Linked DNA regions of Callithrix jacchus. The protein of the gene in region 1 interacts with the protein of each later gene in a pairwise test. Links are inferred from orthologs where the notes say so. Each region holds a gene or a part of one and is shown on either strand. Other genes may lie near its edges.

The links.
Region 2: the proteins of CCDC172 (region 1) and FAM13C interact in binary tests that used the Homo sapiens proteins (3 or more experiments, as listed by UniProt). The two-hybrid records come from large-scale screens. The link is inferred for Callithrix jacchus from reciprocal best matches to the Homo sapiens genes CCDC172 and FAM13C.

What each region holds. Positions count from the first base shown.
Region 1 is NC_133513.1:109,272,967-109,284,011, forward strand, and holds the start of CCDC172 (coiled-coil domain-containing protein 172), read left to right. Parts: upstream 1-4,193; 5' UTR 4,194-4,278; intron 4,279-4,726; 5' UTR 4,727-4,791; coding exon 4,792-4,870; intron 4,871-5,081; coding exon 5,082-5,167; intron 5,168-11,045.
Region 2 is NC_133513.1:71,262,459-71,272,806, forward strand, and holds the end of FAM13C (protein FAM13C), read left to right. Parts: intron 1-923; coding exon 924-1,025; intron 1,026-4,901; coding exon 4,902-5,025; 3' UTR 5,026-6,498; downstream 6,499-10,348. Other genes in the region: PHYHIPL (phytanoyl-CoA hydroxylase-interacting protein-like), read right to left, coding at 7,033-7,567.

The DNA of each region.
Region 1 (11,045 bases):
ACTGAGTTGACACCTTGATTTTAGACTTTCAGTCTCCAGAGCTGTGAGAGAATGAATTTCTGTTCTAAAACACTCTGTTGTTACTTTGTTATAGCAGCCCCAGGAAACAAATATAAATATTAGAAAACAAATATATTTTGCATATGAATTGCTTTTTTACTTTTATGTGTTATGGTTGGTGGAATAAGTATTTATAACAATGCATAACCCAGTCTCAGTTATTTTTCCTTAAATCACATCTTATTTTAATTTATTACAAATACACTGCATTATTAATCCAAATTCTAGAAGTCTGAAATTTCTTTAAAAAATATTAATTTGTTAGTAATAAGCATTTTTTTGGAAAATGTATCTACCTTGAAACAAAACACAGTTACTTAAATGGTCTTATTTTCACCTGCCTCTAGTTTTTAGAGTGGGTAAAGTGAAATGGTTAAGGCCTTTGCCTTAAGAGACTATCAGGATTCAAGTTCTGATTCCACTACTTCCTAGCTACTGTATGTGACCTTGGACAAGTTACTTGGCTATGTCTCCTCAGTCTCCAAAATAATAAAAGCATCAATTTCTTATGGTTGTTGGGTCAATTAAAAGAATTAATAGATGTCAAAGTCTCACATGGTTATTGTCTCATAGCAACTGCTATGGCCTGAATGTTTGTGTTACCGCACACCAAATTCATACACTGAAATCCTAACTCTTAAGGTGATGGTATTCAGTGGTGGGGCTTTTTGAAGGCCCTCATGATTAGGATTGGTGTCCTTATAAAAGAGACAGCAGAATGCTAGTTAGCTCCTCCCACCATGTGAAGACACAGTAAGACCCTTTCTATGGACAAGGAAATGGGCCCTCCCCAGACACTGAATTCGCTGGCACCTTGATCTTGGACTTCATAGCTCCCAGAACTATGAGTAATACATTTCCATTGTTTCTAAGCTATCTAGTTTATAGCATTTTGTTTGTTATAGCACCCTTGGACTTTGACAGTGAATAGGCTGCATAAAACAAGTCTTGACACAGCACTTATCTGATCACAAACATTATGTAGTCCTCCAACACGTATATAAATATGTTAAACACCATCAAAATGTTGACCCCAACCAACATTCTGCTTCTTTTCTCCATTGCTTTGTGTTTGTTGAAGAACCACCCTCCTTTAAAACTCAGCTCATATTTTATATCCAACTGATAGTCTTCCTAGATCACCTACATCAGAATTCTCACTCCCTCCCCTGTGTTCCCACAGCACAAGGGTGAAGCTCTTAAATACAGCATGCCTCGAAGTTATTTGTGCATGCTATGTCCCATTTGATAGACTATTACCTCCAGGAGGGTAGGGTCTGTATCTTTTCAACTTTGTATCCCCCATAGTATCCAGCAGAGAATTTTACACTTAGTAGATCCTCAATAAATGGTTGTTAAACTTGGTTGAACCCACATAATTTTTTTCTTTGTGGCAGATGCCCTAAGACAAAACATAAAACAAATGAATTACTTGTCTTCTCTCCATTGCAATATATATGCCGTGGCTAGTGGGTATTTGCAAGCCTGGTTTAGAACTTAGGGAAGTCATCAATCTAGGAAAGGAGAGGAAATGCATTTTAAATCAAAGGAGCAATATAGCCTTATATAAGGCCTTCTAGCAAAGCGATTATCAATGGCTCAATAACCCAGGTGCTACTGTTATTATGAACGAAAGTCTGAGGGTGAGAGACAATGAGTGATCTTAACTTTTATATTCATAGGTATGCAATTCAATGAAACTTGTACAGATGGAAAGTTTAGGTCTGAGAATCATATCTGTGTATCATAATGCAAATAATTGGCTTTCCTTCTAAAGAACATCTGTTGAGACATCTGAAAGCAGTTGTTTATACGGCTGCCAAAATGCTAAAAAATATAATAATTCTCCAGTGAGGTTAGAAATATCCAGGGGAAGAAAAATACTTTTTTATGTAGTTCTGTTTTATTAAATCTTGTTGTTATTTCTCTAATACGGCACATAGAAGATGCTCAATAATATCTGTTGAATGAATAGCAGAAACTCATTAAACAGTTGTTGAATGAATCATTTTTTTTGTAGACTTATAAGGTACATTTTCAGAAAACTGTATGCCCAAGTTTTACCACATTGTATACCATTTTTATCTGGCATAAATTTAAGTAATGCTATTCTTGCTCTGAACATTATAAGATGTAATGAGCATGGATATCTATAAGAAAAACTATCTTAATGCTACAGAAAATGTATAAATAAACCTAAACAATAGCAATATGTTTAATTTTCTTAATATGTCTCTTTTATTATTATGGAACACTTAAACTTTGAGTTGCAAGCTCATATAAATCATATTTGCTTCAACAAACAAAATAAAATTTAAAACTGCTAACGTGTATAGTTTGATACCTCTAAGAAGATTGTAACTTTGGATTTAAAAGGGCCAAAATATTCTGTTATGAGAAGAAGATGACTACAGAAGATGAAGGAGCCATTTCTCCCCATACCCACTTTCTTGAATTTCCATCAGCTCTCTCTTCCATACTATGTAAGTGAGGCAACTGTGCTCCCTAAAGGCTGCCCAAACTTTACTCTGCCAAGTTTCAGCACAGAAAGAGCATGTTAAATAATAAATGTGAATTTGAGTGTAACTAATAAAATTGGAATGTTAAATAGCAGCATGCTTTTGAAAACCAGCCTCCTTGTGAGGACATTCCTTGTGCAAGTCCATGGGAAATAACTCTGAAGGGAGTGATATTAATTAGTAATATAATTTATCTTCTGGAAGCCCTTTCCTTTGATGGCCGCTGTGGTACAGTTTATAAGCCTCCAAACAAGTGCTCAAAGGAAATGGTTCAAACCACAATTTCAACTTTGTTTTCCACCCTTGAACAGATAAGAGTCAAATTTATTTCGGTATATCTAAATTTTACACATGCCTCTCTATGGTGGAGGATTGTGAGTTATAAAAATACATTTATGAAGAGTTTTTGATGAAATGGTAAAATGCCTGAAATGTAATAAGAGGGAAAAAGACAAAATCCAAAATTAAATTAATGACTTCTGATTCCGGATTTCTTGGTTTCAGTTCTCACTGCCACATACTATGGCAAGATACTAAATTGTTCTGTGCCTCAGTTTCCTCAACTACACTATGAAGATGATGGCAAAAATCATCTCAAAAGGATATAAATTGTTCAAAATAGTGCCTGGCAAATAATCAATAACAAATTATTATTATTACTGATTCACAATCATTTCAAGTTTATAAAGGAAGAATGAAGAGTGAGGAGGGCTACCTGGAAGAGAATTGGTAAACTGTTAATATGTACTTCTAAATAATATGCTTATGGGCAGTTCTTTTCTGCTTTGTATACCTTTCAGTATTTATTCTTTTAAAATAAAGCCAAAGAATTAAGTTTTATGCATATGTGGCTTGATGGAAATTAAGGTGGAAATTTGGAATAAGTTAAAATGCATAACTGATTAGACTACATCATTAATGAAACATTAATTAAGCCTATTGTGAGGTGGCAGAATTAACATTTACCTTATTTTACTTAATTTTAAACACATTCTAGCAAATTACTTTTTAAAGTGCAACCAACATCAATTTTACATTCAGAAATAAAGTCAAACGTTTATTTTACTTAATTTTAAATAAATTCTAACAAATTACTTTTTAAAGTTCAACCAACGTCAATTTTACATTCAAAAATAAAGTCAAATGTTTATTATAATGTCAGTATTTCAACCTACTAAAACTAAAAATATTTTAATTTTTGATTTAAAAAAATCCCACGCAAAAGTCCCAAAGGTGCCTTTCATGTTTAAGCTTTAATTAGCAACCACTTTGTGCTCTGACACATATTGCGCAGATATTGAAGTGTTAATATTACTGCAGCTTGATTACAAAAGGCAATGATTAATTTTAAAGCAGACAAAAAAGATATGCCCTGATTACAAAGGAATGATTAAGGCGGAATGTCAGACATTGCACATTTATAGCAGTCTTTGCCATCGTCAAAGGAAAAGACTTTGTGCAAGTTTATATTTAGAATCATAGTTACTCTGTGCTTTATAATATTGGGTATTTATGCCTTGGATACCGAGCATCTCAACTGCAACTGGGCCTAAGACCTTCGGGGCTCACGTGCCCAGGGCAAACCCGCTGACCGCAGGATGGGCCAAACGAGCCGCCGTAGTTTAGGTTCTCACAGGCAAAGCTGGACCTGAGGCGCTGGCCCTTGGCATACGGAAGGTTTTGGCCCCGGGTTTTGTTGGCAAGTATCATTTTGCTTAAAGACAGAGCACTTTGAGGACATTATCCCTAAAATGAGAGAGGACTGGGATTAAAGGGCTGACTACAGAAAGGGCTGTTGCCCACACGCCCTCAAAAGCCAAGGTCTGCTATTTTTATTGCCACCAAAGCGAAGACAAACCCGTAGGGGGACGGGGGCCTGCGTCAGGGGTTCCACCAGGGAAAAAGGCAGACCTTGAACCTGCCCTCTTAGGGCGTGAGGGAGAAAAGCCCGGTTTGTAAACTGTAACGGGAAACCAAGGCTGAGGGCAGGAAGGGGCGGCAGCGGCCGGCGTCCCTGGACCCTCAGACCCCGCAGACTCCGTCCGGCGTCGGCTCCATCTTCTTGCTGGGCCGGCGACCGAGAGTTGGACAAAGGCCTATCTGGGAATAGTTCTAGAAGACTCCATCTTCTTTATTGTGCTTTCCAGGATCCTCAGGGTTGGTCATAAAATCTTGAAGGGAGAGAAAAGGATCGCAGGAGCCAGGCCCTGAGATGAGCTTGGAGTCCCTGTTTCAGCACATCATCTTCACCGAGCATCAAGCGGAGGAGAGTCGCCGTTTGATGCGAGAAGGTCGGGGGATTTCTGTCCTTTGCATGGGGCCTTTCGTCTTCTGGTGCTGGGTGCTTGGAGCAGAAGGAAATCCCGTAGGCAGTGGTCAGAGCCCTTAGGGGAGCTTGCTTGTCATGCTGAGGGAAAGACAGCTGAAAGGTGGCTTCTCAAACGCCGCCAACATCGGACTTTAGAAAGATCTATGTGTTTAAAAATTTAATTTTTGTTATAGTGAGGTTGGAAATAACCAGATGTCGTGAAAAAATTGAGAAAGCAACGGAGAAGCTGAATGAAGAGAAAATCGAGCTGGAATCTAAGGTATTGAAATGTAGAGCATACTAATTATTACTTGAGAAAGCCTGCCTTCACTTGACTTTTGGGGATATTTCACTGTTTAACCAGCTGTCCTTCAGGTAGGAAGCACACTACTTTTGTGCTGGCTGTTTTAGTTCCATGTTGCCTGGTAATGTTGAAAGTTCTGAATCCAGTGACCCCTTCAGTTCCAATATGAATTTGCCCTAAAGAATCTAAGGTAATGAAGAATTCGTTGTTTATTTTGTGGGATGGTTAAGGTTTTAAAAGAGCACAATGTCATTAGAAGAATCATTATGTTACTTAAAAAGTAGGTGCAGTATATACATTTTGAATGATAATTTGTGTGCTACGTTGATATAACAATTGTATGTAACTTTCAAAACAAGCCCCTGCCTTTTGTTTTAAAATTCTCTGCCACATTTTAGACATGCCTGGCATCCAAACTATGTTTTCCACTAGCATTCCTCTCTTTCCTGCAGTGTTTGTAAAGTTCTGTTATTTTAAATAGAAGCAAGAGAGTCTGATGGCTTTTGAAGGAGGATTTTGAAGGGTGGATAGAATTTTTGAAGAGGCAAACAGAAGGAAGTAGCAGGAGAAAAGCATTCCAGACAGAGAGGAGGCAAATATGATCCAGTGCGTATGTTAAAGGAATCTAGTCAAACCAGAGGGCTGATATCTGGGAATAGCAGAAAACCACTGCAAATTTCTGATCGGGGAACAGTAAAAGTGGTTTTAGGTAGCCCAGTATGGTGGCATGTGCTTTTAGTTCCAGTTACTTAGGAGGCTAAAGTGAGAAGACAGTTTGAACCCAGGAGTTTAAGGCCATCCTGGGCAACATAGGGAGACCTCGTATTTAAAAAAAAAAGGTAGCTTTAGGAAGATCTTTCTGACCTCTGATTGTCAAGATGGGAATAGATTATTAGGAAGCAAAGAACATTATTTAAGTGTGCCACAATGAAGACCTTGCTATGGGTGGGGACAGAGTTATTCAAAATTATTTATTAAATAACCAATGATGAACTAAACAAGCAATGTGTAATGTGAAGTCTGTTTGAGGAAGTTTTTTTGCTTCAAATATATCTATTTTAGCTTACCACTGTGGGGAATTTTCAGATTTCTTTGAGAATGAAATAATCAGAGAACATTACTCCATCCAGCGAACATTTCTCCATCAGCTCTTCTTTCCAGGTGTTGCTCAAACATGACCAATAAAGCCTTCCCATAGACATCTTGGTAAAATGATACATACCTGTATTTGTGTTTGCATCCCCCACTATTTTGTGAGCAACATATGTGGAATTTTTTCCTTATCCATCTTTTATTCCCACTGCTTGTTATCTAACACTTAGTATATCATATACAGTAGTGTGTTGAAAGAATTAATTAGTACTAATAGTTTGATAGATAATAGGGAGAGTCTTTGAAAATATAATTTGTAGCTATCATTCGGAGAAAATGCCTACCATTGTTTAGAAACATTTGTTGAAATTTCTAATTAATATCATAAGCATGCATTGCTTTTTAACCAGCTCATATATGTGGGTAATAATACATTTGTATCTAACAAAATTAACAGATGAGGCTCACAGTTCATACAATACTAATTTATAATTGAATAGTTCGATTTATAATTATAGTCAAGATGGTATTTATATGTGCATAAAGAATTAAAAGTAGAACCACAATTATAATGCAAATGACTAATGGAAGAACTGAAGATGTAAGCCTAAATTGATTTCTTGTTTCTTTTATTCTGAGTTAATTATATGTCTGCCAATAACAATGAAAATATATTTACTTGGCATTTATTGACCCATTTATCAAATGGCAGCAGCAGAAGGAGAAATTGTTAGTAGAACTTAATTTGAATTCAGCAGTACTTGAGCTATGGTACAGGGATACATTCAGAAAATTTTGGGGGCATTTATTTTGGATGTTGCTTCTGGTCAATAAATGTATTTCGGAAGTACAGTATTCATTTTTTTCTTTTCTGTAAAATCCGGATAGCATGTAATTAGAACTTGAATGATAGCATTTGCCTTGCAGGGCTCAATGAGTCTTTTAAAATATATGGTTGCAAAAGTCTCAAGTTATATAGTATGAGTACTTTATGAACTGGACAGCTACACTATGCCTGGTTACATTTGGTAATATGAAAACAGAAAAATGAGAACATGCTCTGGATTTTCATTCATGCTTCCCAATATACCTAAAACTTCTGATAGTCGAGGAAAGGTTGTGTAGTATTGATGATGGCAAACCAAAATTAAGGACTCAAAGAACATTGGTAGTTTCTTTTAAATATCTAAGAGAGGTTCTTCTATTTTTAAAAAATGGCATATAATTATAATTTTGACATTTAATTTTTATAAACATATTACATTAAACCCAATATAATGCCATATTCCCTAAGAGGGAGTAAATGGAGGACAATCTGAGGCTATTTTGTGAATATTTTATTTATTTTTTTCTGTTTCCAATTTTAACTTGTTGTATAAACACCATAACAATAATAAAATAATATTTCATGAATTTGTAAAGGAAAATTATATTGAAATAAAAAAGTAACTTAAGGTGGCTCCACTTACTTTTTTGCCTCAATATGTATGTGTTCTTTTTTTTTAATTGGTAAAAGTTAGGAAGCCTCCCAGAACAGCAGGCAAAGTCATATCCTTTGGTACTGTGTTACCTAATTAGAGAAAGAACAAAATCACAAATTACTATCATTTATAATATTGAAATGGAGTTTTGTAATTGGAGTGCTTTTTTCTTTCTTTACACTTAATTGAAAAATTTAGACCCTACCTAAATTTAATTTTATTGTTGACAGTTATTCATTCAACAAACATTTCATTGAACAACTGCTAAATCACACTATGAATACTTGGCAAATAAATTATATAACACCTTCCTTCCGGAATTACAGGATTGACGTCAAGCAACTTCAACTGTATAAACCTAACTGTAAACTCAAAATTTTTGATGTTCTCATTTAAAGAAAAAAACTTACTTTCATTTTTTAATGAAATTCTATAAAGAAAGGCTATCACATTTGTCATGAATAATTATCCAAAACTTGGAAACAGGCAAACGAGGTCACTGAGTGTCCTTTGAGTATTTTATTAGACATTGTCCAGTAGCTCACCTTCTTGAGGACAGTCAGGGTTTTAGGGGTGTGAACCTTTGTTCTGGGCTTTTTTTTATATAGGTATATGCCAATCATTCTTTGACCCCAGGGCCTTTGCACTTGCTGTTTCCTCTAATTGAAATGCTGATTCCCATAGCTGTTATTCTGTCATGCTCACTCACTTCATTTAGATCTCTCCCAGTAGAATCATGTGAGATTTTTAGTGCTAACACTAGGATAGTCCCATGCAAATCTTGACGGTTGTTAGCCTAGGTCTCAGTTGTCACCCTAGAGCATTATTCTTAAAGTGTGATCTCTGAATTCAAAGGAGTCCTCAGGACACTTTTAGGGAGTTTGTAAGGTCAAGCTATTTTCATGATAATATTATACAAAGGCACCATGTGCCGTTTTCACTGTGCTAATGCACACATTAACAGTGCAAAAGCAGTGGTGAGTAACAGTGTTAGCACCTTAACATAAATCGAGGCACTGGCACCAGACTGTACTAGTAGTCATTGTATTCTACACTGCCATGCATTCTCAGTAAGAAAACAAAAACCTCTAGTTTTATTTAATGCTTTGATTGTAGTGTCAAAAATGTTAATATTATTGAAACCGATGGTTGAGTGTATGTGTTTTCAACATTGTGTATGATTACATGGGAAGCACAGCTAAAGTACTTCTATATTCTGAAGTACAACGATTATCTCAAGCGAGAGCATGTGTGCAGTTGTTTGAGATGCAGTATGAGCCAGCTATTCTTTTTCTGAAACACCATTTTTACTTAGATAATTGACAGTCAAATTGTAGTTATTTAGATTTGGGTGTTTGGCAAAATTCTCTAAAAAACAAATGAAGTAAGCCTAAAATGTCAAGGCAAACATCTGACATTCTTCTTATTTTGCCAATGATAATATACAAGCTTTCAAACAAAAATTAGAATTTTGGAGGATTACTATCTATCTGTTACCATCAGCTTGGCAGCATCCTGGTACTTAAAAGATTTTTCTGGTGAGTTCGTTAGTGATATTAATGAATATGAATGCTACTTTTGAAACATTATGTTTCAAAATGTTTCAGAATGTTACTTTTGAAAGCATATTATGAAATATATCAACATTGGGAGGATCTACATAATTCAGGGAAGGAGTAAGTAATGCATAAAGTTACAAAACTCTGCATGGATGACAGAGAGACTTAAAATGCAAGATAGACCAAAGGATTGTATTTCAACACAGAATGAAAAGTTCATTGAAATGGTTTCAGATTCCACATTGCAACTAATCTTTAAGGAATTACCACATGGTGAATTTTGATGTAGTAACAAAGAATATGCACAATCATTTCCAACTATATACCCATGCACTCCATATTCTCCAACTGAAAAACAATACAAAAGATTGACTAGAAGCAGAAATGGGAGTCCAGCTGTATTCTTTTTAATTTTTAATTTGTTTTTATTTATTTATTTTTACGAGATAGGGTCTTACTCTGTCACCCAGGTTGGATCTCAGTGGCACAATAACAGCTAACCCCTGGCCTCAAGTGATCCTTCTGCTTCAGCCTCCTGAGTAGCTGGGACTACAGGCCTGTGCCACCCTGCCTGCTAATTGAAAAAAAAAATTATTTTGTAGAGACAGGATCTTGCTGTGTTGCCTAGACTGGTCTTAAACTTTTGGCCTCAAGTGATCCTCCCACTTCAGTCTCTCAAAGTTTTGAAATTACAGGCTTGAAACACCACATCTGTTTCCAGCTGTTTTTTTATTAAGCCGGGTGTTAATGAGATTTGTAAAAAATCTATATGCAGCTCCTTTTTAAAATTTATTTTTGTTTTGGAAAGCCATTTTAAAATACAAATATGATCTTTAAAATGCAATAGGATTATTGTTGTTATTCATAAATTAGTGTTTTAAAATTTTTCAGTTTTAATTTTGATACAGAAAATATTACTAGATATAACTCATGAAAACAATCAACCAAAAAGAAATTCTTAATTATTTTTTAGACTATGATGAGTTGAAAAGACCCAAAAATTTGAGACCGCCATTTCTGTAGAGGCTACTTCCTGATCTTCCTATATAAAATAGCATTACCATCTCACTCTGTCTCTATGCTGTGTGATACCACCTCTTGGCATATTTCATATTGACCTGTTTATTATTTGTCTCCCTCCATTGGAATGTAAACTCCACAAGGGATAAAAATGAATCCATTTTGTTCACTGCTTCTATTCCCAGCATCTAGAACAGTGCCTGAATAATAGTAGTTATTAAACAAACATTTGGTGAATGAATAAATTAATTTAAACTTTTTCTCATAGAGTTATCTATTTTCTATTTCCTCTGCTTTGAATTCTACTTGTTTGATTTGACACCTTTCTTACATGGTGGTAGATTTTCTTTTGAACTTTTAAGTTTTTTTATTGCTTTTATTTTACTGAACTTATCTTTAGCAGACCTTATCTTTCTTGGCAGTTCAACACATTCGTTTGATAGAAAAGATGTCCCTAAGAAGCAGTTTCACCCCTGCTGCCGGGGCCTCACAGATTTCCTGTGTTCCGGACCAGTTTTTATGTTAAATTCTGAGCTCAGGATTTCTGCACTGTATGGATAAGAGATTTTGAATCTCACACCCATCCACAGATTAGGCTCAGAGTTCAAATTCACAGGACATGACTCCTTTTCCACTCACAGCTCAATGGGATATAGCTCACTTATACCCTGCATCTCTAGGGCAACAGGTAGAGTTTTCTTA
Region 2 (10,348 bases), about 38 Mb from region 1:
CAGGAGCTGGCATTCCTCATAATTTGGCCTTCTTTGGTTTGTATCTTACAGCCCAGATTATGAGATTTAATTTGATTTAAACGGACAGAAACGTGACCTGTCAGAGAAAACAAGCAGAAAATCCTTCTTTTTTTGGTGGTGGTTCTAAAGCAGTTATTCCTCACTTTTTCAAGGGGTGTTGGACTTTTCTGAAACCAATAGAATTATTTTAAGAAAGTGCCCATATATAATTTCAAGTTCACAGAACCTCTGAAACCTGAGTGTATGTTTGTGTATACCAAGCTCCTGCTCTAGAGTGTATGAATTTTCTCTCATCTTGGTAGAATTTAACTATACCTTTATTCTGGGTCTTATTTTCATTCACAAGGATTTTGCCATGCTCCCCACATTCCCACACTTACTTCTCTAGATTAAGGATGTAATTTTCTTTAAAAGCTGTTCCTCTATATCTCTTACATCCAGTCTATCACCAAATGCTGCTGAGTATTCCTTCAAAATATTCCTTACCTCATCCATCTATATTGCTGTTACCCTTACAACTTCTTTCAGTGGACTCAATGTGCTTGCCTCTTGTCTGTCCTTTCCCCTATCCTGTGATATGTTTTCCATCGGGTAGTTTTCCCTGCTTGTGTACTTGCCTATGGACATGATTTTGTGTGTCATATTTACTTAAAAAACACTCTTATGATCGGAGCACCTTTTAATCATAGTATGCTTTTTTGGCTCAACAGATAAATCTGCTTATGATGATCTCTCAACTATGCCAATGCTCAGTAATGGCAAATATTTTACCTTCTATAGGCCTGTACTTCTTCTTCTTTTTTTTTTTACTTTACATTCTGGGGTACATATGCAGATCATGCAGGGTTGTTGCATAGGTGCATACATAACTTGGTGGTTTGCTGCCTCTATTTCCCCTTCAGGCCTGTACTTCTTGACCATCTCCGAGAAACCAGGGCTGACAAGAAGAGACTGCGGAAAGCCTTAAGAGAATTTGAAGAACAGTTTTTTAAACAAACAGGAAGGTGCGTGTGGGCAGAGAGACTTTTAAAGCCTACTTCCTAGAGAATTATTGTTAATAATGAACTGCAATTTTTTGGCAGCAACAGTGACTTTTTATGAAATGTATATAATTCCCACACTAGCTTAGACTCAGGATTTGTTCAATCCAACATTCTGATAGTGCCAATATTAGGGATGTTTTATGGGACATGGCAGCTGTCAAGCATGACGTCAATCTGTAAAAAATAAAGGATAAACTCTAAAAATCTCTAAGTTTGCGCAATAAATCTCATCATAAATAAATGGATTTATTTAAACCTTTAAAAAATCTATTTTCATTTTTTTTAGCCTACATAATGCTTTGTTGTTGGTTTCTCAGTTCTGCAAGTTACTCCCTACTTTATTAAATAATAATTCCTTATTTGCTTTAAATGTCTTCCTTAGAAGTCAAGATCTGTCCCTAATTATTTGATTTCAAGACTTGATAAAAAAATTCATAGTCATTCTTTCTACCCCTTAAATAAATGGTTAGCTTTATCATCTCTCCTCTACTTTTCTGTGTAAACCCAAGTCTCATTATACACTCTATTAGTTTCCTCTAATTTTTGGTGTATGTATCAACAACAAAATTACATACATAATTGGGAGATAAGGGTTATTGATCCACTTTTGGAAGAGAGATAAATTACTTAAGTTATCTTGAGCCTCAGTTCCCACTTTATAAGCTGAAATGACTGGACTCCTAGAATACTTTGGGAAGCTACAGCTGTCACGTGAGATAACAATCTTTAAAAAAATAAATAAATCTAGAGTGTAACTTTCCCACAGCCACAAGTTACTAAGTAGATAACATGACATTAAACTCATCATTCAAGTCATAAACTTATCAGTGCTACACTGGCTTCTCTGTATTCATCTCCATTTAGGTATTGTATTTGACCTTTCAGTTCAGCAGGCTGAGAGTTGTCCTCAAGGAAAGGGACTATTTTCCCAAAGCACCTTGAAACTCTCAAGCTTGGTCTACTCACCTCTTAGTCCCTGGCAGGTTTTCCATGTTAGCCTGCCAGGGATATTCTTTAGGACTGGACCTATTGAGTGAAAAGCTCTTTGCATTCAGCAAATACAGATGTAACAACTTACTTTCTATCTGTAATCTTGAAGTTGATTGCTACAAGTCCAACTTACCTTTTTGGTGATGTTAACTAATCTAGTGAGAAATGGTATGTGGCTCATAAATTTAGAATATAAAGCATTTGTTACTAATTTACTTTTTCCATACTTTTTTCTTTTATAAAATGTTCATGTAACTTTCCTTGCAAAACATTCCTTTGAGTAATAATTTTTTCTGGACTGTCTGCTATATTTGGGTAAATATGTAACTTGCACTATAAAGTCCTTGATATCTGCCTCTTTTGGATTAATGGTATGTTATGGGAATTTTTCATTCAGGGAAATATTTGTGGAGATGTTATCAAATATTCTAAATCAAACAGTCATTACATATGATAAATGATACTTTAAGATGTGCATACATTATTTTCATAAATTTGAGTTCTTTGAATAAATTTATATTTTTACCAGTTTGAACCCAGGAATCTATCTTAAGGGGTCTGAGAACCTCCCAGTGTGCTACTAGTCCTGCCTAGTGGATCTGCAGTGTCACTTAGTATGCTTTTGGTCATAAAGGGAAGTTAGTTATGTTCTATGCATAGTATAGAACATAACTGACACTGCAAGTATGAGTCCTTTTTTTTTTTTTTAATGAGGGAAGAAAATAACAAACAAGTAGCCAACCAATATTTCATTTAAACCTGTGAGTGGCTGTGATGTGGTACTGATAAGAGTGTATATTTTATGTATTTAAAGTGGAGAGTTCTATAAATGTTTATTAAGTTTACTTGTTCCGGATCTAAGTTCAAGTCCTGGTTATCCTTGTTAATTTTCTGTCTTGTTGATCTATCTAATATTGATGTTGAAGTCTCCCACTATTATTGTGTAGGAGTCTAAGTCTCTTTATAAGTCTTATGTATCTGGGTGTTCCTGTATTGGGTACGTATATATTTAGGATCGTCAGCTGTTCTTGTTGCATTGATCCTTTTACCATTATGTAATGACCTATGAGTCCTAAGCCCAAGTCAGATAAGCCTATATTTGGCTTTGAAGTTTATGCCCCTTTGTGGTGACATATTTCAACTAAATGCACAAATGATGATCTTTTACAACTAAAATCAAACCATTGAATGGCTAGGAATTATGGACCTTAATTTTCTTTATCTAAGACATTTCACTGGGAAGGCCTAACTATCCATAAGGTAAAATAACTATGCAAATGAATTAAAATGTTTAAGACACTGTAAATGTTCTTGGTAATATTTGCCATAGAAGAGGCATGAGAATCATATAGATATTACATTATTATTAATAATTATGAGCCTGCCACTGTGGTAAGCACATCAGTATGTTTTATATAATGGGGAAACTGCTTCAGGAAAGACTTAGCAAAACTTTTCATTCGTGTCAAAGCACTCTTATTAACCAAAATGGAATATGTAAAACTAGGGAAAATTACATAATGCATTATTAATGGTTCTCTGTAATAATTAGGAAATTTCTTTACTTAGATTTATTTATAGAAATTAAGATGGTATTCAGACACCCAGTTATGATAAGTTTGACTCATAACACAGAATGAAGGTAAAGGATTTATGTTATATAATTTAGACAATAGTTAAGAAGAATGCTTTCTATGGATTTGTATACTGTTCTGAGTTCTGTACTAGAAATTGCAGGGCAATAAATAGTTATGAAATACAAGTAGATACTACATTCATAGACAATCTGTATAGATTAGCTTGTTTTTTATTTGGTAAGAGATAGAAATATCTCTTTATCACTATTGGAAAAATAGAAAGGGGTAAAGGTAAAACATTAAATATATGCTATTTACCTGGTTTCAGCCATAGTAATATTAGACAGTATTTGTGGTTATATTCAGTTGTAATTGTAGTGACTATATCCGTGTCCTCAACTCCTTAAATTTCAAAGTCATGGGTGCAAACGTTTTCAAAACAATTTGCTATCTTATTAACCAAAAAACAAGAGACTTTTGAGACCCTGTCGCAATTATTTCCTTTAGAAAACATTCTGACAACATATTTTTGTGGGAAGGCAAATGGTTTTAACTCCTCATGTTACCAAGGTATTCATCTAAGTCAACAGCAAGCGCATACTGCATATGTATAAAAATCTATGCATTGTTACATGTTTAGCCTTAGTAGAATTAGTGTACAGAAGAGAACCACTGCAATGTAGATTCTCATAAATTACTTCAATTAAGGAACAGATCAGTGGTTCTACTATATATTAGCAGACACAGGTATTATAATTACAAGAAAGTCTGGAAATGTTTCAAATTTGTAAGAGAGACCCTGAATGCTTTTCTTGTTACCATAAGTTATTAAATTATTTTTAAAATGTAATTTATGTAGTATTTTCAGGTTAATATTTTTAACCACTCTATTAGGGCTGAACATTTTGTACAAGTATAGGACTGTGACAGATAGTGGGAGAATGACTGGACAAAGAATGCCTTGAAAGTTTTGGTTTTTGTTTGTTTATTTCCCCTTAGATCTTTTCACTTACCCCATTGTTGTAAGTCTATGCACTGGACCACAAATTTTCAAAACACTTATGTCATTCAAGTTTTCAAAGGTTACTATTATTTAGAAACTTAAACACATGGAAGAGAGAGTGAATGAAAGTGAAAGGGAAGTAAAAGAAGATATGATGCAAAAACCAAGTGGAAGCTGTTACAATATGCTTTTTCATATTTGAATTGTAAAAGAATATTTAATGACTGGATTCATTGTGAACTAATAAACGTATTTTTTTTTTTGCAGAAGTCCACAAAAGGAAGACAGGATACCAATGGCAGATGAGTATTATGAATATAAGCACATAAAAGCCAAACTGAGACTATTAGAGGTCCTCATCAGCAAGCAAGATGTGGCCAAAACTATTTGAGGTTCAGGAAATGTTATGATTACTTTCACCCATGATATAAAGTCAAGTTTATTTTTCTCTGCCACCCTTGCTAAGTAGTTCTGACACAATGAAGATGGAAGCACTTTAGTTGTAGTCTTAGCTGTTTTTAAGAAGGATTAACAAGTTTAATTACATACAAGGAGAAGGGATTTAAATGGAAGGAAGGATACAACAGGTAGCCATATAATTGGGAAACAATTCAGTGTCCTCCATGCCAAGCAGAAAACTTACAGTCAATATAATTATTTTTAAAAACTTCTAATAGTTTATCAAATCTAAACAACATAGCTGGGACACTTGTTAGGGGAAGTTTTAGTATCCAAAGATTGTTTATGATGTATGAAAAAGAGCATGATTTTAAAAAATCAATAAGAGGAAGAAAACAAATTTTTCTTTTCAGGTAGGAAAGAATACAGCTAGCAAGAAAGTAATTTATTTGAAACTTCTGATGGATTTTGAGTGATAAAACATTTACTATCTTGTCCCTTAAGTCTGTGAGGCTTTCAGTACCCTAAAATAAACTAGATTGTGTCACTGCAATTTTTTTTATTTCTCTATAAAAATAACATTATTTTATCTGTTATTTGAAATTTTACATTTCTGGTTACCAAAGTTCATTCTGACAGCATGTACTTTGTGAATTACTATCTTTGTCTATAACTGACAGATGTTTATATTAAAATAAAATATTGTATTAAAAATTTAAAATAGGTATTTTGGATAGATATGTGTCTGCAGTATATAATCTAATGTGACCATAGTATTACTGCTAATCCTTTTGTTTACTATAAGATTATATAACTATTTTTTCATTGGGAGTATACATTTTTCTTAATGTTGCAAGGTATATACTTTGTAAAGTCAAAAAATTTCCCATGAGCTGAAGTTATTCTTCCATCTGTACAAAATGAAAGATTTGGAAACTGTTTGCCCTGACACCTTGGAAAAGAAGCCAGAATATTTATTTGCTTCATCAACTTTAGTGCATATCATTTTGTGTTATTTTATACTAAGACCTGTTTATTATTTTCATTTTTGTAAAAGGAAGTAAAAGGGCAACATTTTCTCTCATGTAGCAACCATGTTTGTATTTCTATTTTCTGTAATGTTTAAGAATGATGTTGAAGAAATTCACATTTTCTTATAGTTTTAATGGGAAGACTATTGACTATTTCAGAAATAGACTATTTCAGAGGCTTATTGTTTTCTCTGTATTTACCTAATATTTTATAACTTTATGAATCAGAATAATGTCCTTCATAAATTTGTTTAATTGAAGTCATCTACTTGTAACAGGACAGATACAGAATTATTTGAGGTTTACAAATTACATCTTTGATAAGGGAAATGATTTCATGACATGTATACAATTGCTATTAAAATGTAACTCTATATATTCTATATGATTGTAAATATTTTATACAACAATACAAATAAAATATTTTTCTATTATATTTATTATGTTGATAACACAGTAGTTGTTTCCTGTTAGCTAATATAAATAACATAAATAACACTGTCAAACAAGGAGTTGGAAATGCTGACAATTCTAGGCTTCAAGATTTAACTCATGCTGCAATTACACCCTTTCATGCGATTTGGAGTTATTCCAATATTTATTCAGTAGATTAAAATGAATGCATATTTAAACACCATTTATAAGCCATTATTTTGTACTTTGCTAAAGCAGTCTATATAACTGTTTTGTTATGTTTGGCATAAAGGAAACATAAAAACATTGCAGCAACTAGGCAATAAAGTGTCAGAAGAACTTAGGGTATGTCATCATTGAAAGTAGTGGGAGGGGTAGGGAATAGGAAAACACTAAAATGGCTCTGAATGAAATTTGGAAAGTGGTATTTTGTTTTTGGCGACAGTGGCATGTGCATGCTTCAGTGGAAAACATCTGATGATGAAAATGGACAACAGAGGACCAATGCTCCTAAGGGAAGAAAAGGGGCTGAGTAAGAATAAGAAGAGTGGGCATTAACGTCCAACACTGATATTACAGGTTTTGCAGCTGGGATCTTTCTTTGCATTTGCAGTAGACAAACTCATGAGCTGATGACCAGTGATTTCTGCCACGGTGCCCAGAGAAAGATCCACAGGGTCAGTGTAAATGACTTCTAAAATGACATCCTGGGCATGGTGGTAAACCAGCACCCCATCTTCTTCTGTACAGGTCAAAAATTTATTATCCTTAGAATTTAGTTGAGGAAGGCGCTGCTTACAAAATTCATCTCCTGGTGATCCCACAGGAGCAATAACAAGAATCACATAATGATAAGCAGTGTACATACAGTAGAAGTCCCCAAAGTATAAGTTAGTATTGGGGTTAAAAAGTTTTTCTGCTGCAATCTCAAACCTGTATCTTCCATAAGGTGAATCCTGGGGTGGCTTTCCAGTATTGAATTCAGTGCTGCAGCTGAAGAAGATGCCTTCTAATTTTCCACTGATAGGAGAGCCATGGCTACCACTGTTATCCTTGACAGAGGGCTGCATAGCATTCCCATGATGTTCTCTGCAAGAGAAAACAAGTGGTCACTGCTTAATACAATTGTGGTAAACCCATTGATTTATATATTTGAATGGCCCACATGTCAAACATCTACTGTTAAAGGCCTGAATACCTCTCCTATCAGACTAAAGGGGCAACATCTTTTGATATTGCCTATAGATGGCTGAATTCTATCCTTGACCTTAAGGTAAGGATGATCTGCTACAAACCTTGCATTAAATTAACATAATTATATAAATTTCCTCACCAGAAAAATTAAACTGGACTTAGAAACCTTACAGGTAAAATCATACATACATTAACTGCCAACTAGGTTTCAGAAGTGGCTTTTTGAAGGGAAAACTGAACTAAAGGTATTGGCTAGTTAAATATATTGAATGTTTTTAAAATGAGTCCTGTCCATTTATACTGGTACAAAAGTGTTGTGTTTTGTTTTGGCTTTTTAACACAAGGATGGTTTACTAATCAGGTTATTTCTCTGGCATTTTGCTTAGAACAGTGCTGGTTATTCCCCCTTTACCTCACCCTCAGATCCATTCATTCTCCACCACAGTCTTCCACTGTGGCCTGGAACTCTTATTCAGTTCCTTATCCCTTGGACTCTTCCATTTCAGTTCTACGAATGTAAGACACCAACATATATAGAGTTGGAGGAGATAGAGACTTTGGTGTGTCTTTCTATATTTCCTCCATGCTTCAGGGCATTCTGTTTCTGGCAGGGCTGGGTTCTTCATAACTATGTATACCTGACTACTGCTACTGCTACTGCTGGATGAGTTCCTACTCCCTTTAATTCCCAAGAAGAGTAAAACTTTTCAATTCCTGCTAGTTCTTGGTTACATTAGCATCCCTTACTTGGTATCTTAACCCTGACTACACCTCTATAATGGGTAGTTTTGTTAAATTCTCTCCAGAATCCCTCAAATGTGCCTTGGTTTTTTTATTTTGTTTTGTTTTTTGTTTGCTTTGCTGGCTCCCTGACCAGTATGACTTGGGAGGCAAAGTTCAAGCTACGACTCAAGCAAGGGAAAGTTCCCTGGGTCAACGTGCTTCTTAAAGAGTTTATGGATCATTGAGATGTGCACTCGATCTACCTCTGAATTTAGCAGCAATGGATCTTAAATTTACCACCTGAAAACCAGCTAGGGAGCTTATTTTATGCAAATTCAAGGAAAGACCAAAAAATTGTCGCAGTTAAGAGAATAAGGAAATATAACAAATAAATGCAGTGTGATATTCTGGATGTGACCCCATACTTTTACTTGGACTGTTCTTTTTTCCTTCTGATGTTCCAATATTCCTTCTTTTATTATTTCCTTCTTTCCTATTTCAGAAACTTCCTTTAAGATAGATATGCTGTTGACAAATCCTCTTAGTTTTCCTTTATCTGAGGATATCTTAATTCCCTTTTATTCTTGAAGGATATTTTCACTGGATATAGAATTCTCAGTTGACAGTGCTCTTTCAGCATTTGAAAATATTATACCACTTCCTTTTGGTCTAGATAGTTTCTGATGATGATGTCATTCAAATTGTTTTATTTTTCCTTACACATAAGGTGTCTTTTCTCTCAGCACTTTCAAGGTTTTTTTTTGTCTTCAGTTTTCAGTTTGTGATGTATCTTGGCATGGATTTCTTTGGATTTACCCTATTTAGGGTTTTCTTAGATCGAATCTGTATGTTTATGTTGTTTGCCAAATTTGGGAACATTTTGGCTATTATTTCTTTGAATACTTTTTCAGTCCCACCCTCCTTCTCCTTTCCTTCTTGACTTAGTCTCACAAGTCCATAAGACTGATATATTTTTTTTTTCAGTGAGTTTTATCTCTGTTGTTCAATTTAGGTAATTTCTATTCTATCTTCAAGAAGTTTACTGGTTTTTTTCTTTGTCCTCTTGAATCTGCTGTGGAACGCATGGAATCTATCCAGCTTTTTACTTTACTTACTGTGTGTTTATGTTCCAAATTTTTCATTTAGTTCTTTATACCTTCTCTTTCTTTGCTGCTTCAAATGTGTTAGTATGTGCTTGTTGAACCATTTTTATGGTGCCTGCTTAAATATCTTTGTCAGATAATTCTAAGATCTGCATTATTTTGGTTTTGGTATCTTTTATCATCTTTTCTCATTCAGGTTAAGACTTTCCTGGGTCTTGGTGTGATGCATGAGTTCCATTAGTATCCTGGACATATTATGTTATTATATTCTGGATCTTATTTAAATCTAGTATTTTAGCAGTCCTCTTCTTGACTACCAATGGGTGAAGAGTATGGGGTAGTCACTTAATTGATGTTGATGGGGATAAAAGTCCAGGTTTCCTACTCAGTCTCCAGTGACACAGGCTAGGGGGTTCAGTTACTACTTGGAGGAGATAGGAGTTTAGACTCCCACTAGGCCTGTGCTTACATACTATAGGCCAGAGAGAGAAGGGGTGTCTCATTACTACTTGACATGTAGGTTTCACAAACTATGAAGGCAACCCTCATTGTCTCCGGGCAATGGTGGAAAATCCAGTCTCCCTATTCAGCCTTCTCTGATACCACCCTAGCAGAGGGTAGAGAGAGGGGGGTGTCCCCTTATAGATGTGAGAGGGTAGAGGTTTAGGTTCCCCTCTTAGCCTTGGCTGGTAGATGGGGGACTACAGTTTTTTTTTTTTCTACAGTGTTTGCCTGGAGTATGGCAGTTATTGTCCAAAAGGTTTCTGTATTGGAAGACCTCAGTTTCTTTCCTGATCCTGTGCATAAACAAACATACTTTCTGGTGTTCTTTTTTTTTGTTTGTACCAAC